3 linked regions of the Schizosaccharomyces pombe genome follow. The gene in region 2 interacts genetically with the main gene of each other region. Each region holds a gene or a part of one and is shown on either strand. Other genes may lie near its edges.

Region 1 (4,746 bases), 2.5 Mb from region 2:
ATTTTCCTCCAGTTCTTGACGAAGTTCATAAGCTTCCATTAATGAATCATCAAGGAATTCTGCATAGTCTAATTCCAAAGAATAGGCTTCAGGCACCGATTTAGACAATATTGAATCCGGATGTTTTGCCAGGTACGTTATGACAGTACGCCAGAGGTATTCTTTCCTGATTAAAGCCTTGCGAATCACATAAGAGCAGCAAAGTTTTGTTTTTGGGTTCTTGTAAACTTCGTCAAAGTCGATATCTTCGTACTGTGCCCATTGAAAATTTGCTTCCTTCGCTGAATTTGTAAAAGTTAACTCTTTTCCACTATTCTTCAACGCAGATATGATTTTTGGCTCTGCATACTCGTCACGATAGTTGACATAAACTTTTATGTCTTTCTTAGTAGAAGACATGTACGAAACTACCTTCTTTGGACTTTCTAGAGTTGGGGTAGGAGGATACAACGAATATTAAAAAATATAAAAGCGCAATTCTTTAGTAGGGTGAAAGAAAAAATAGATCATAAATACATACTATACTAAAAATTACAAATAACATTAAAATTGGATAGCTTCATTAAGATTTGTCATATTGGGAATAAGAAGGGCTTTAACGATAACATCTATTGACAATATAACTAATACTTTATAGTTTGGGCTCTGAAATGAATAACTCTTCTCTTACAGTCTGTTAATGAACTTTGCATATCTTTAATAATTGTTTTTGCAAAACAAAGAGAAGACTTGAATATGTAAGGGAAAAAGCATGAGCTAGCACACCAACTGAAAAATTGAAAAGTGTTACTCAAAACACAAATTAAAATTTAAATATACAGATTTAAGATTAGTAGCAAAAGAGCTATAATCACTGTTAACCAAACGTCAGTATTTGAAAAAAGAAAAAAAAACATAGTTATACAGTAAGTACTATAATATTGAGAAAACAATGAACCAAAAACTTAAGGCATCTAATGTGTGTTTATGGACGTTGCCATGTTCGAATTCTTCCGTTTGTAGCACATGTTATCATACAGTCAGGATCAAAGAAGACGGAACTGAGAGGACTATCATCGACATCGTAAATGGTAATAGGTGATATAACAGGTATTAAAGAACGAGATAATGTAGGATGGATAGTAATATCGCCGTTCACATAATTTGAATTGTCAATTTCTGATCCCATTGTTAAATCACCGACATCATCAAAATCACTTATAGCTGGTTTAGAATTATTAGAATGATGATTCACATAATAAACTGCAGACTTGGGTCTATGAATAGCGCTCACACTGAAATCCCAGAGTAGTAGTTTTCTGTCGAGTCCTACACTAGCTATTCTATAATTATCATCATCACATCTCCAAGCATCAAATATCACATCGGTGACCCAAGATTTATGGCCTTGACAGCGAGCTACTAACTTTCGTAAAGGAAAGGAGTATATTGAAACCAGATCATCTTTACCTCCTATAGCGATAAATTTACCATCTGGAGACCAGGTGACACAGGTTAACCCAGCAAAGTAACTATGAAAAACATCAAGGACGTGTTCCTTCACAAAATCAAAAAGCTTCAATGTTCCTCTCTCAGAGACGAGTGCCAGGTATTGATAATCGGGACTGAAACAAAAGCCGTTAATCGGTGATTTTGAAAATGCATAGCAAGCAACCGGATTGAGTTTACGGTCATCTCGGTGATTAATACTTATGAGAATATTAAAGGTTCCTGGAGAACTAAGATATAAAGATTTTAGGTTTTTTTCCGGTACCACAATATGGAGTGGTTGCTCGTGACGATATTTGTCATAAAGCACAAGCCAACCATTGCGAAAAGATACCAAAAATTGAGAATCTTTGCCAGCAACCCACTTTATAGCGGTAACAGAGGAGCTATTCAGCTGTCCATTTTTGTTAAAGCGTAAATACTTGAAATTAATAGGATCATACCAAAGTACGTCGCCTGTATCAAACCCAATTATTACGTCCAAGCCCTTGGGACTTTTAGTAAAGGAATTTATATCATGGCAAACAGGTGATGCCCTTGGAAATTCCATTTTGAGTAAGGCAGAATGGGAATTAGCAGCACTCACATCAAGCCAATAAAACGATTTTTCGTGATTAGCAAACACAAAGGTTTTACCATGAATAGAAGGCTGAAAAGAACGTACTATGTTGTCATGAAATGTAAGGGAGGAGATAAAGGATTTAGCATTGATTAAAGGAGCACCAGCACGAGAGGCCGGTCTGTGAAGCTTCAAATAAGGAGTGTTAGAGGAAGAAAAGTTGTGGGACTTTCGTTTACTATTGCGATAATTTTCAAGAATTGAGGGGACATCTCTATTCTCTTCAACATGATGAACGCCATGAATTTTCTTAAGTTCTTCAATATATTCTCGTGGATAGGGGTAATCCCAACGGGAGAATTGAGCAATATTTATCCGCATAAAGAACAGACGTTTTACAGGCGTGTTTGGATCTAAAGGTGAACCGGTAATTTGAGGAGTAGAACGTGATGAACTGCCTAATTGAAATTCATCCTTCAAAACATATTCTCCCTCGCGAGCAGTTAAAAACAGAACCGGACGGGCAATTCCAGAAGACATCGTTTGCATAATATAGTTAGGTAAAGGATAAGAAGTGAAAGTTCTGCTGAAACAATCCAAATGGTAACGACCTCAAGTACTGAGAAGTTTCTATTCAATGAAGTCGTAAAAGACAATTAAGAAATGTATTTAAATTAGTGAATCTAGTAAGAAGAGCGATTTTTAAGCTACTGCTTTCTCTTTTATTAATCAATGAGAATTAAAATAGGAGTATACGAAATCGCATTCGAACAAATTAATTTATAATTAAAACTTATGCAGAAGACTGAATTTCCTGCAAAATCGTAAAATGTTCTTAACCGACTAGCTCGACCGTACAGTTTGTTGAAATCTTCTAAAGGAGTAGCGTGTCACTTATAATATGAAAGCGACATAAATAACGCTAATTAAAGAACAAACCCAATTTACGTTAATAAAAGGGTATGTGTTTCATTTTAACATTTATTGAAGCTGCTTGAGGTAAATATTTCAATACACTATTCTTTGCAATATTTGGATCAATCACATTTTTTAAAACTCATTAAATAGTTCAAATAAAGAACTCTTTAAACTTGCGTTAAAATATAGCAGATACATACTGCATTGCTTTGAAACAAAACTTTATTAGCACTTTGCACGATTATATTGTATCCCGTTAACCATCACTATATACTACGTGTCAGGAATTATTTACGTTTCTGTCCCCTTGGGTACTCTTCATTGCTTTTTTATATTCAAAAGCTATTTAAGAATAAGGATAATGCAATGGAACTTCTTTCTTTAGTATAGTTTTTAAGTTATTCGTAAAGTGTAATACTATTTAGTATCTATAATTCTTAATATAACCAAATCATTGGCAAATTAACTGTGTAAAATAATTTTGATCACTCAAAAAACTTATCGTTGTGTTATAGCTTTATAATGTTATGAGCTAGTTAGTAAGGCCCTATTATACAAGAATTTCGAAAACGGTGAAATTTGCAATATTTGTAACTTGCAAGAAGTGAAAATTCAGCATTTATACGTTTTGTGAGTGTAGTATATTTTCACTCTTGGTCAAAATAGGCACGCTGAAAGTAGTGTAATCTATGAAGCTTTAATTTATATAGTGAAAAATACTGTAAATGGATTTCCTATCCTTGGTTTTCGGATTCATGTAAAGTTTGTTATGCAATCTAATCGATGCATTATTACCTTCCCTATTTCTCTACTCAATTGCCATTTTTTTTAAATGTATATTCTGTTCCTATGTATACATTATACTCTTTTTATCCTAGGAATTATTTAAAGATTTAATATTCAAGCCTAAAAAAATTGTAGAAACTAATTATTTAGTAACTGAAGATATAGCTTATAAATCCAATTGTTATTTCAGCTAGAAATGTTACTTCGATCGTCACAATATTCTTTTCTATTCCTAAAAACATTTTAAAAGCTAGTTGACCCTAAATGTGATTTATCAATAGAATCAATAATCTCAATCATTTAATAAGAGGGTAGATTTGATCAAATTCTAGTTGTATGAAATTACAATTCGCAAAAATTGACTGAAACAACCAAGGGTTGGGTAAATCTATGGTGGTATAATGGCTTCATTCTTACCTACTCCACTTACGAACCTCCATCTTCTTAAATTTCACAGTAGAAGGTAATTGTAAAAGAAATATTGTGACAATAAATTTTAAAAAGATTAGCAAAAAAGAATATTTAATTACATAAAAATGTCGAATGTGCAACGTAAAAGAATTGATATTCGTCGTCCCACCCTTGCGGAGCTGTCGAGTATTCGATCGATTGCCATGAATGCGTTGAACGGTCAATCGAGAAATCTCTCTCAAAAAATCTTTTGGCACCCGTTGTATCTTGCGGTTTTTGGTTTGGTGTTTATGGGGATATATCGCTTAACAAACATGGTAGAAGGAAATACAAAATTACGAACTTTTGTTTTATTAATATTGGTTAGCGCTGTCTTTTTGACGTTGATTGAATTTCCCTGTAGAAATGTGTATGCAAAGATTAGCACTGAAGACAATCAACCTGACGGCTGCTTGGCTGAAGAGAATCTTAAACATTTTTATATGGCCCGCATTGACAAAGAACGAGTTATTGGTATTATAGGTATCTTGCCTGCAAATGCTCCTGGTGCATACCAAAACACACCAACTATTGTCCACTGGACT
Region 2 (9,466 bases):
CACAAATATCATCAAAGATATATGATGACCTTCACGCCTTCTATAAGTCATTAAATTCTGTTGATGGGATTTCAAACCTTACTATTGAGGAAGAGGAACTAGTTAACACTGATTTTTCTTTGGCATACGGTGGCAGATTGCTTCTGAGTCATACCAATCTTCACCTTTATAGAGGTCATCGATACGGTGTTGTTGGTCACAATGGTTGTGGTAAATCAACCTTGTTACGCGCTATTGGTGATTACAAGGTTGAAAACTTTCCCTCACCTGATGAGGTTAAAACTTGCTTTGTTGCACATAGTCTTCAAGGCGAGGATACTAGTATGGCTATCCTTGACTTTGTTGCTCAAGATAAGGCGTTACTGACTATGAATGTTACCCGTCAAGAAGCTGCTGATGCTTTGCATTCTGTTGGTTTTACTGCGGAGATGCAGGAAAATCCTGTTGCTTCTTTATCTGGTGGTTGGAAAATGAAACTGGAGTTGGCTCGTGCCATGTTGCAGAAAGCTGATATTTTGCTTTTGGATGAACCAACAAATCATCTTGATGTTGCCAATATTGCATGGCTGGAAGCATATTTAACCTCTCAAAAGAATATTACTTGCTTGATAGTTTCTCACGACTCTTCATTTTTGGACCACGTGTGTACTGACATCATTCATTATGAAGGTGTTAAAAACCAGGCAAAAAAGCTTGGTTATTATCAAGGTAATCTTTCAGCTTTTGTCAAGGTCAAACCGGAAGCTAAATCATACTATACATTGACAGCCACAAACGAGAAGTTTGTTTTTCCACCTCCCGGTATCTTAACTGGTGTGCGCTCAAACACACGTCTCATATTAAAAATGACAAACGCTTCTTATACATATCCCAACGCGAAGAAGAAGTCATTAGATAATGTTACCGTTGGGTTATCTTTATCTTCTCGTGTTGCCATTTTAGGTCCTAACGGTGCTGGTAAATCAACGCTTATTAAAGTTCTTATCGGTGAAGTAATCCCTCAAGAAGGAAAAGTTTTCAAGCATCCCAACTTGCGTGTGGGTTACGTTGCTCAGCATGCCTTTCATCACTTGGATCAACATCTGGAAAAAACGCCAAGTCAATATATTCAATGGCGTTATGCTGGAGGACAGGACCGCGAAGTTTCAGAGAAGGAATCTCGAAAACTTACCGAAGAAGACCGTGCTCAGCTTCAGCGTGATATTACGGTCAATGGCGAACGTAGAAGAGTGGAAGCTTTGATTGGCCGTCAAAAACTAAAAAAGTCATTTCAATATGAAATTAAATGGTTTGGGAAGCCTCATAAATACAATACGTGGGTGTCTCGAGAAATATTGCTTGAAAATGGGTTTCAAAAGTTTGTACAGGCTTTTGATGATATGGAATCTTCTCGCGAAGGTCTCGGTTTCCGTGAATTGATTCCCGAAGACATCAGGGCACATTTTGAGGATGTGGGCCTTCCTGGCGACATTGCTGATTACAGCCCCATTAGTAGTTTGTCTGGCGGTCAAAAGGTTAAAGTTGTTATTGCTGCGTGTCTCTGGAATAACCCCCAGCTTTTGGTTTTGGACGAACCTACAAACTTTTTGGACAGAGATGCATTAGGTGGTTTAGCTGTTGCTATTCGTGATTGGGAAGGTGGGGTCGTTATGATTTCACATAATGAAGAATTTGTTTCTGCGTTGTGTCCTGAACACTGGCATGTAGAAGCGGGTAAGGTTACCGGTAAGGGCAAGACCGCTGTTGACGATGGAAAGTTTGAAGATCTGTCGGAGAAAGATTTGAAAAAGATTGAGGCTAAAGCTACCAAAAAGAAGAAATTGACGAGAAATGAAATCAAGGCCAAAGAAAGACGTGCTAGAGAGAGAGAATTAGCATGGTTACAATCTCCCAAGGGCACCGAAAAACCCAAATCATTCTTCTCTGATGATGAAGAATAATTTCAGACTAATTTTTTAATTCGCTCTTTGGATTGACAAGTTGAGAGTTGTTTATCCTTTAATTTTCTTTAGACGGTGCTAGTTGTTGAAGTTGGTCTTTTACATATTTACGGTTTACTGATATACCTTTTAGACTTAATTTATATATATAGAACTTGGTGGATGGTATCGTGGATAATATTAATATTAGTCGCTTTTTATATGTTTTGTTTATCGTTAGTGCATGTTATAGTTGTATTAGACGTATACACTTTTGTCATTGACTCTTGTAAAAGGTGTCAAGAGAACTATGTATTTTTTGGGTTTTTTTCTAGATATTCGTATGAAAATGTGATAGACTTTTTAATATGATTAATCAGGAAATTTCTATAAACATGCACTCAACGAAAAATAGGGTACTTAATCTTCAAGAAATAATTGGTGTAGTCTTAGTTCACCTACTCAAAGAGCCTTCAAAATAAAGGCAAAAGAACTGAACTAAGAGTTTTACTACTGATGATATAGTTCATTTAATATTAAACAGGGAAATTTTCAAACAATAGTATGGTATTGGATAAACTGTTGTACACAGGGTACAACGTCAGTACTGAATGTGGTTATTGTAAAAGTGGAAGAAAGACCGAGCATTTTGGTTTATTAGCAGAAAAGCTCAGTTGTGAAGTAAGCGTATAACTCTGCTTTTTGCAAATTTTGCTAACCTACATTTAACCTCAGGACTACCAGCGATTGATTGATTTGGGATGGAGGTAAAAACCTTTATTAGTTAACATTGCTAATATAAAATAAGACGTTCAGGACATTATTTATATAAACCCAACGGGAAAACATCTTGCTGTTCTCTTTATACAATCAGGTACTTAGCATAAGTCGCCAAATATGATTGATTACTAACCGCCGAATGTTGAAGACTCGACAGCTATAATTTTAAAATTGCAAAAGAGCAAAAGAAGGCAATAAAAAAATGGGTCAAATATGTAAATGGAAAGCCATTAAAACCTATGAAAAGCGAAATTAGCACAGATTATTTGAACAATGCCTTTCAAACTATAGAATCGCTCGGAGCTGAAAAATACTCTGTAACTATGGAGCCTTGCACTTACACCGATGAGAAATTTGAAGTCTTCAAAAAGTATCAAATGCAAGTTCATTTAGAGAAAGAAGAGGAAATCACGAAAAAAGGATTTAGCAGGTTTCTTTGCAACTCTCCTTTATTTAATGAAGACAAGGGGATAAAGTATGGTTCTTATCATCAGATGTATCGATTTCAAGGAAGGCTTGTGGCAGTTGGAGTTTTAGACTTGCTACCACATGGTGTTTCTAGCGTTTATCTGTTTTATGATCCTGATATGTCTAAGTTTTCTCTGGGAAGGATTAGTGCCTGCCGTGAAATCTGGCTTGCTCTTGAATGCGGATATCGGTACTACTACATGGGTAGGCTAAAATGTCATTTATTTAATTACGTTGATTGACCTTGCAGGTTATTATATTCACACATGTCCCAAAATGAAGTATAAGGCAACGTATAGTCCATCGTACCTGCTTAATCCCGTACGTATACATTCGATTTTAACTTGAACTAATACAAACAGGGTACAAATAAATGGATACCAATTGAAAACTTTACTTCACTTTGGAATACTGGTGCTCCTAAATATATAAGTTTCGGGGATGAAAATAATAGTGATATTCAAACTGCTGTTGACTACGATTCTTCTGAAGATTCATCTCAAAACGAAGATGATTATACACTGTTTAATCGACAGCTTCCTGGAATTCTTTCAGTAAATGTTGCTGAGTCCTTGGTTTCGGAGAATTTTGCTAACATTGGCAATTCAACTTTCCCCACAAGAGTATGTCTTTATTTTTGAGTAACAATGCTAATTCTTCAGCATGTTTTAAGTTATTTCCCTCAGGTTAAACATTGGTTTGTTGAAATCAATGCTGCTGTGGGCGAAGAAGTCGCAAAGAGTTATACACTTGTTTTATCTAGTTGATATATTATCTGTCTACGTGTTTTATTTGCTTAAGATATGAACATCCTACTTAAAAATCTTAATGAACTCCAGGATGGCTTTGAGAGTAAATTTTACAATGTGACTTACAGAATTAAGTTAATTTTATGCTACTACTTATGTGTGATAGTTTCCTCTTTTATGTCCCTTAATCGAAGTTGATAGCATTTCTAATAATATAAAATACTGCCGGCTTATATATTTATTTTGTAATTATTTATAACTGCACGCTACCTAAAATGTCACCCTAACATAACTTAGTGGGCTTTTCCGTTACGAGTTGTTTGCAACCAAACACAAAAACGGGTTTACCGGTACTTCACGACTTAATATAATCGCAAAACAGTGCATAGTAGGTGAGAAAGGATTTTATCATTTAGAGAAGAGATTTTACTTTAATTGTTCTTCTTTTTTCTTTCTCAAGTGTTACTGCTAGGTTCTCATTCTATAGAGTATTAGCAAACACCAGATTTCGATGACATTTCGTGTCAAAATTGGGTTGACTGCATTTTAAAAATAATTAATCACGGTTGGCTTACAATTCAACTTCTAGGCACTGATTTTTTCTTCGAATGCCATTTTGAAGTTATTTTACTTTTACTTTCCTAAAACAAGGTGTTGTAATAAGGGATTGTTCTTTTATCTATTTTTGTACCATTTGTATAAAGAATTCATTAATTTGCACTGTGATTTTCTTAATACAGGCTTAAATCCATTTACCGCTTCCATTTTTTCTTTGAATAAGTTACACCATTTCTCAACGATAAATACTTGTATAGAGAGGTGTATTTACTTGTTCAATTTCATTCTTTATTGAAAATCACTGATTTTGATTTGATTTTTATTGCGTTTAAGCTGTATGCTACTTGGAAGCTGCTTCTCAAGTATAATATTGCCTTTGCAACAAAGTTTTTTTATATCTCTTTTTACAGGATTTCGCATGTTTTATCTTTTTTGTTGAGGTGCTTCACTGATTCTATTTTGTACCTAAACTCGATTTTTGTGCGGATATATTATGAAGAAGTATTTGTGGGGTACTCCAACTACGAATACCGTATTTACAGGCAAGCAACCAAAGTATACCAAGGAGGTTCGCAAATGCATTTCAATTGATGAAGTATATAATGTTGTGCGAAAGGTTGGAGATGGCACCTTCGGTTCAGTTTACCTTGCAACTACTAAAACTCCTTCTAAAGAAGTAGTAGCTATAAAAAGTATGAAGAAAAAGCTGGCTAAGGTTTCTGATGCTACCAGATTGCGCGAGGTACATTCTTTGTTGAGACTTTCCGAAAATGAAAATATAGTTAATATTTTCGATTTATATATAGATCAATTTCGATGTTTACATATTGTAATGGAGTTTCTCGATTGCAATTTGTACCAGCTAATAAGTACTAGAAAGAACGACCCTTTGACTCTTGAGCAAGTTCAAGATATTATGCGTCAAATATTCAAAGGCCTCAATCATATTCATACAAATGGTTTTTTCCACAGAGACATGAAACCAGAAAATATTTTAATTTCTTCAAATAGTGACTCTTCTTCTTTCAATGTTAAGATTGCAGATTTTGGTCTTGCTCGTGAAATTAATTCGCGGCCTCCATATACCGAATACGTATCCACTCGTTGGTATCGTGCACCTGAACTATTATTACGGGACTCTTATTATTCGTTTCCGGTCGACATATATGCTGCTGGATGCATGGCATTTGAAATTGCTACACTTCAACCAATTTTTCCTGGAAATGATGATTTCGACCAATTATATAAAATGTGTGAAATACTTGGAAGCCCTGATGAGCAATCTCAGAATACTGGAGATAAGGGAGGTGGTATCTGGGATCGAGCTGAACTATTAGCTAATAAGCTAGGTATTTCTCTACCCAAAATGGCTCCGCTCGACTTTGGAGACTTATTTTCCCCACCATGGAATTTAGCTTTTGCTTCAATGTTGTCCCAATTGTTAAAGTGGGATCCAGCCAAACGACCTACTGCAGAAATGTGCCTTGATTTAGAATTTTGTCGAGTTTCCGCACCGGCTGATGCAGTTGCCAGTAAAGAGGAAGTCAATAAAAACACTGATTTTCGTGTTTCAATATCATATTTCCCTTCGTCTAGTTCCATTCCAGATGAATGTAACACTGAGGAAGAATCTAGGATCAATCCTTCAACTTCAAAGTTTCTTAAACAGCTGAATAAAGGTTTCAATGGGTTTACTAAACCGTTTCGTAAGTCAAGAAAACAATCAAAGAACCGTAAAAATAAGTCTTCAGTGGCTACTCAGTTTTCTGAAGAGTCAGAAGATATTGCTGATAGTATCACCTCTTCAACATTTTTTCCCGTTTTACCCCAAATACGCCCATCTACTCCTTTGAATCTCAAGTTACGAAACTTCATTATTTCATCTTCTGAAGATTCTACTTCCCCCAAAGCGAAGGAATTTGACCGTCCTTTGCCTTCAACCGAATTTCTTGTTGCTATAAATAAAAGTCAAGAAGCTTTGTTGAATAACTCTCCTAACTCCAAGTCTGGTAGTACGCAACTTTCTGCTTCTACGTGTTTAAGTGATTTAATTTCCCCTCAGCTATCGATTCTATCTCACGAAGATAAGCGCGAAAATCAATCTGTAAACAGTGAATCCTCTAAATACAGTCCCCGGTCATCTAATCATTCACCGACACTTCACAGCAAAGATTTGCACCGTGATATGGCTACTGTGAACAATTATGCCAAGTCTCCACCTTCTTTCCATGCTACGCAGGACCTTCTTCGTAAAACATTAGCCTATACAAATTCAAGTGGTACATCAACAGTCTTATCTAATGACTCTTCAGCTATTTCCTCAACGTTTTTGGACAGAGATTTTCCAGATTTTGGTATCACATCGTTAGCTGGTAGTCTAACACTTCCCGACTCGAAAATTATCGATCGCTCTAAAACACACGTTTCGACACAATTGCTTCCCTAGCTCATAACACTTTTACTTTTGATTATTCCACTAATCTTTTCTTTTCCTTTTATTTCTCCATGTTTTGCCGACCTTTCTTTCTTTTTATTTCCCCTTAATTCCTTGGTCTCTTCCCTGAATTACGCTCTTTTGTCAACTACTTTATTTATTTCACTTCCAAATTTACTATTTTGAGAAGCAAATTTTACATGTTTTTTGTTTTAGCATCACCTTTTCTTTTCTTATTTTTTTTTCTTTTTCGTTTATTTTGTTTATCTTTCTTTCCGGAATTTTGTTCGCCTTAATTTAGCATTTTTTGTAGTCTAGGTAACGCTAAATGATGACATTACCTTACATATTTTTAAATACATGTATATAACTGCAATGATGAAAGCTGCTTTTGATTTTCTATTTAAGTGATAATCGTAAAATTGTAGTAGTTGTTTTTTACTTAATTTTTTATATTTGCAACACAGTAGCACAGAGATGCAATACCAAAGCTATTTGTAAGGGGAGAAAGAAAAGAATAAACACTCGATACTATGTTTATTTTTATGAATATAAAATGGTAGTTTTTACTTGAAGAAATAACTGCTAAATGTACTGTGTGCTTTTATCTCTTACATATACACATGTAAGCTAGTAAATATACAATTCGCTTGTTTGAGTAGGTTAATTTATATGACGCAATATTCCCGAGTAGCTGGATACCACGTCTCAGAGAAGCATTTCGTCAATAACCAAGAATTACCACATGTAATTATTGAGGAAACCGTGAGGCGTTTATCTTACTTTTTCCAATTACGAATTGCCCGAGATAACTTTTTATAAGAAAAGCGAGGTTTCATAATAACTACTTGCAAAGACCAAGCAAGCGTACGATTTCATGAATTTTAAGTAGTTGACAACTACTGCTTTTTGAGTTACATTTTCCCAGGAAGTTCATTATTAAATAACTGTTATTTCTTTTCTTTATATCAAGTTGTACATTTGGCAGATTTTTTTTGCCTTATTTAACGATTTCTCAGGAATATACTATTAACGAACAATTTTTGTAAACCAGGAATTATAAAAAGTTTACAATGAGTGAAAACGTTTACCTTAACGAAGCGCTGAATGTAGTAGATCAATGCTTTAAAACTTTTTTTGATAAGTACACTGATAGAATGGGTAGCGCCTTTGCCTGTTCAGGCACTATTGACAAAGATCATATCTTTCTTGTTTGGTCCGTGGCTGTATATGCAGAAGCAATGGCAGACAGTTTAAGATACACCAGCAAGTTTGAGCGGAAATTCGAACATGTGTTCCAAGCTTTGAAGAAATATTGGTCCCCCGTTTTTAATGCCTGTTGTGCTTTTCACTATTTTGAAGGAAATGACGACGTATATTATGATGACAATGCACAGGTAGCTATTGGCTTGGCTACGGCTGGCTATTATACTACAAACAGTTCACGTCGCGATCATTATGTTAGTCGAGCAGAAAGTATAATTTCGCTTATTATCAACAAAGGTTGGAATCAGCAACGTGGAGGTATTGCTTGGCATACCCGTACTACTGGTCCACCATGGACTAATCTAAATGCCTGCTCTACTTCTATGTCTGCAGTTGCTGCTTTGCGACTTGCTCTGGCGTTGGACGATCCTAACAAAAAGCAACATCTTGTTTCGTTTGCTTGGAATTGTGTTCGATGGATTCAGGAAAACTTGCTTGATGAAAATCATATTGTTTGTGACGGTCTTAGTTTGAAAGACGGAAAATGGGTCTTAGATAAGGCACGCTTTACTTATAACACTGGTACCACTATGACAGCCATGTCTTTATTGATGGGTCTAGGTGAATTCACTAAAGGATTGCAAGATATTGAAAAGCTTCCGACGTACTTAGAGGATATGGCTAGAGGTGCTTTGGACACCAATGGCCCATTGTATGATCAATCATGTAATGGAAGCTTTAAAGTATGGTCTGATAATACCTTTTTTGCTCAGCATCTTTCCGAAGGTTTAATGACATTTTCTTATGCAATGCCATCATCTGCGTTGGCAAAACCTGCTCAAAAAATGGTTTTAGATCAAGCCGACTTTCTCATGAAATATTTACGTATTCCAAAGGAAGGTCTATATTATCGCAACTTTGGTCTTTACAAGTTGAGTCCCGAATTGACAGCCTCGTTCAATAAGTTTTTCAATGCAAACAAGCAATTTCAACCAGATAAAGATGAACGCATTCAACAAGAAGGACCAGTGGAACAAAGACCTTTGTGTCCTACACTGATTGGAAGTGCTGGTGCTGCTAGAATGCTGTTTTCTGCTGCAGAAATTGTTAACCGAAATAACCCGAGTTCAGGTGAGTCGACAACTCTTCCTCAACCTAGCCATGGTAAAAAAGATAAAGATTGTGTGATCTCTTGAGCAACCGTTCAAATTGCTTATAATATTTTATCAGGTAAATTATTCCCCTTTAACGCGTCTTTTATTTATGTTGAATAAATGAATTTCAAATGAATTGCTTTAAAATTTTGCATAGTTATTAAGAATAAGCAGTATAACACGACTTTCTAATTAAAA
Region 3 (2,623 bases), 440 kb from region 2:
TTCACTGTGGCTGAAATTGATGTATGTAACTTTTGCCAACGGAAAATTCACTTACAGCTTAATTTAAGCTTAAGCTGGCTCAGGACAAAAGAAGGAAAGGATGTGGGCGTTCACCATTGGAAGATGATAAACCTCAAATTAATAAACTTAAGACTATATCTGTAATCTGAGTCACGGACTCAAGAACACCTGGCTCCTTCAGTGAAATTACCGCCGCTTTTGCTTCATATCTGATTTGTTCAAAAATTACTGTTAGTACTACTAGCGATCGCTCCGAGTCTCGTTGTTACTACCGTAATAGCAGCACAACACGCACGTACGGAAAGTCGGAATGTAAATCGATCAACAGAGAAGTTCCGCCTTGCCAACATGAACTAAGAAAATAACAATTGATCGGTGTTGCAACTTGATACATTAAGCGATACTCAATTAATTAGATGAGCGATTTATTTTCACCATGTTTGTCTCGAATGTATTGGATATTTTAATGGGAGTAAAAATCATTTCGGTTGATTTAATCCAATATTGAAGGTTTGACTAGGATTTTCACAGATAATGATTGATAGTGATTTCAAAAGATGTAATGAATACGAAGATGGTTTAAACCTTCCCGAGCATTCTTCGAGCCTGTAAATGGAAACACAATAACAGCTGAGCAAAAATGTCTTGGAATATGAATCAATTTTAAACAAAAAATGGCTAAAGGAAAAATTAGAGAAATTTCATTGACTGTGAATTCTATGAAGTTATAAGATGCACTTTGCCGTGGTGAGTTATATACGGGTTTTCATGATTGCATGTCATATTTTCATAATGCTTCTTACCGTCTTAAAATTTGGTGTAGCATTCAGTCGATATTACGTTACCTGGGGCAAGTCCTTACATGGGGTCATGCCTTCGGTTTTTTAAGCAAGGTGCAATCTTACATGAAAACAACACCAATTTTACTGAACGTAGTAGCAGTGTGTTTTTTGAGTGTAATCCTTGTTATAGTATTGAAAAATTAAAATCGAATAGGATTTTAATTGCAGTTCGTTTATTCTCATTCGCTTTTTCGTCATTTTCGACCACGTTAAGAATTTTGCGAGATTTTATCATCGCGGCTTCAAAGTGCGAATTTGAAAAGATTTGGAGTACTACATTTTCAATATCTTTTCTATCCTTTAATTTTAAATCCTCTGAGTCTCCTAGTCTTTAAGCCCGCTGGGCGACACAATAGGCTTCTCTTTTCTACCTACGAGTCTCACAAAATTCAAGGTCGGATATCTACAGTTTTCCTATGCTGCATCTTTGCTTGAAAGTTTAGTTTATAAAAACTAAAGAGGGGGAAAACTAGTGCTGGAACGTTATTCAAAAGTACTTAACTAGTATTTCTCTCTTCCATAAGTCATTTGAGTTTTATCAAAAAGTGCTTTGCAAACTGAATTTGAAGAACTTTTTTGCTTCAGCCAAATCCTTCACAAGAGTATTTTCGTACTTTTTTTCGCTGAAACCGACGATTGTTTTCGTTGGGCTATAAGATAATCACCTTGTTTCCTGGTTTCCTCCCTCTCTCAACCATTTTCCCCTCTTTACAAATTTCGCAATCATAGATTTTTCATCGTTTTTTTTTTCAGTTCACTCTCTGTGTCACTTTGATTGTATGCATACTTTTCACCTTCACATTCGATGGGTTCTCAACAGTCTAAGTATGTTTATTTTTTTGTCCAATTTCTCAACCTGCCGTAGGTTTGGGGAAGAACCAATACATTATTAACCAAATTACAGGTTAGACTTTAGGAACGCGGTTTTACGACTACACGAAGAAAGGGTAGGTAATATTTTTCTTTTGGTTGGTTTCATAATTCAGTGAATGCCAGAGAATACGAAGTTCAATTCTTAGGATTCTCTGCTAATGAATGTGAATTCAATTTGAATATAATCATAAATAATTGAAAATTTCAAGTGTACTAACCAATTCAGAACATTCCAAAATTTGACCTTATATGGGAGCGTGTAAGTGTGATCTTTATTCGTGAATATTTTTGCTAACTAATAATCTTTAGCTTTGGACGCTTCCAGAAACAACCGAAGACGTGTTTCATTTGATGTCTATCGATGATTTGACAAAAGTTAAAGACAACGCTCCAGAAAATTTGCAAACTATTATTGCTGTACTCTGGGACAAATTAGAAGATCTACAAAAAGAAACATTGTTTGATGACCCCGCCGCTCCCACTACAAAATGCGCGTTAAATTGTATGCGACTTTTGACAAGGCTTATGCCAATTATATTTGAGGATAAGTCAATGTTAGAATGGTTTGACTATTTTGCGTGGACAGTTCCAAAGGATCCGAACATCAATACACCCCGAGGAGCAAGCTTTTTAAACACCGTTGTAGATTATCTGTTCCTAATCAATTTTACCATCCCTGCTCATAATGATCTTACCCATGGAGTTCACTACTGTATTTGGGAAACTGGGGTAGTTTATCATCCCACAATGTTGAAAGAGCGCTCGTACGAACTTCACCGTGTCGAAGTCCTCCGACTCTTACTTTCATTATTTTCCGAGGAAATATATCGAACAGATGGCAATGGAAGCAGTTGTTGTGCTTATGTTGCTTCAATAGCTAACAGGCG

The links. A genetic interaction does not mean that the proteins touch.
Region 1: mutations in pit1 (region 2) and bun62 together harm fitness more than expected from each alone (negative genetic interaction), as found in Schizosaccharomyces pombe (one large-scale study listed by BioGRID).
Region 3: mutations in pit1 (region 2) and SPOM_SPAP27G11.11C together harm fitness more than expected from each alone (negative genetic interaction), as found in Schizosaccharomyces pombe (one large-scale study listed by BioGRID).

Annotation. Positions count from the first base shown.
Region 1 is NC_003424.3:4,576,477-4,581,222, reverse strand, and holds bun62 (WD repeat-containing protein), read right to left. Parts: upstream 2,914-4,746; 5' UTR 2,597-2,913; coding exon 965-2,596; 3' UTR 501-964; downstream 1-500. Other genes in the region: pby1 (tubulin-tyrosine ligase), read right to left, coding at 1-399; acetylase Sdg1, read left to right, coding at 4,288-4,746. UniProt on the Schizosaccharomyces pombe protein: Required for the ubp9 recruitment to septa and cell tips but also for its enzymatic activity at these specific locations.
Region 2 is NC_003424.3:2,071,748-2,081,213, reverse strand, and holds pit1 (serine/threonine protein kinase Pit1), read left to right. Parts: upstream 1-4,280; 5' UTR 4,281-4,967; coding exon 4,968-6,920; 3' UTR 6,921-7,308; downstream 7,309-9,466. Other genes in the region: AAA family ATPase Elf1, read left to right, coding at 1-1,940; ate1 (arginine-tRNA--protein transferase), read left to right, coding at 2,484-2,600, 2,655-2,686, 2,728-2,793, 2,848-3,371, 3,418-3,488, 3,530-3,790, 3,830-3,934; mug191 (alpha-1,6-mannanase), read left to right, coding at 7,982-9,310.
Region 3 is NC_003424.3:1,630,400-1,633,022, forward strand, and holds SPOM_SPAP27G11.11C (uncharacterized protein), read right to left. Parts: upstream 805-2,623; coding exon 782-804; exon of another isoform or gene 730-781; intron 700-729; coding exon 501-699; downstream 1-500. Other genes in the region: SPOM_SPAP27G11.16 (uncharacterized protein), read left to right, coding at 884-1,198; SPOM_SPAP27G11.12 (uncharacterized protein), read left to right, coding at 1,669-1,688, 1,768-1,810, 1,963-1,995, 2,046-2,623.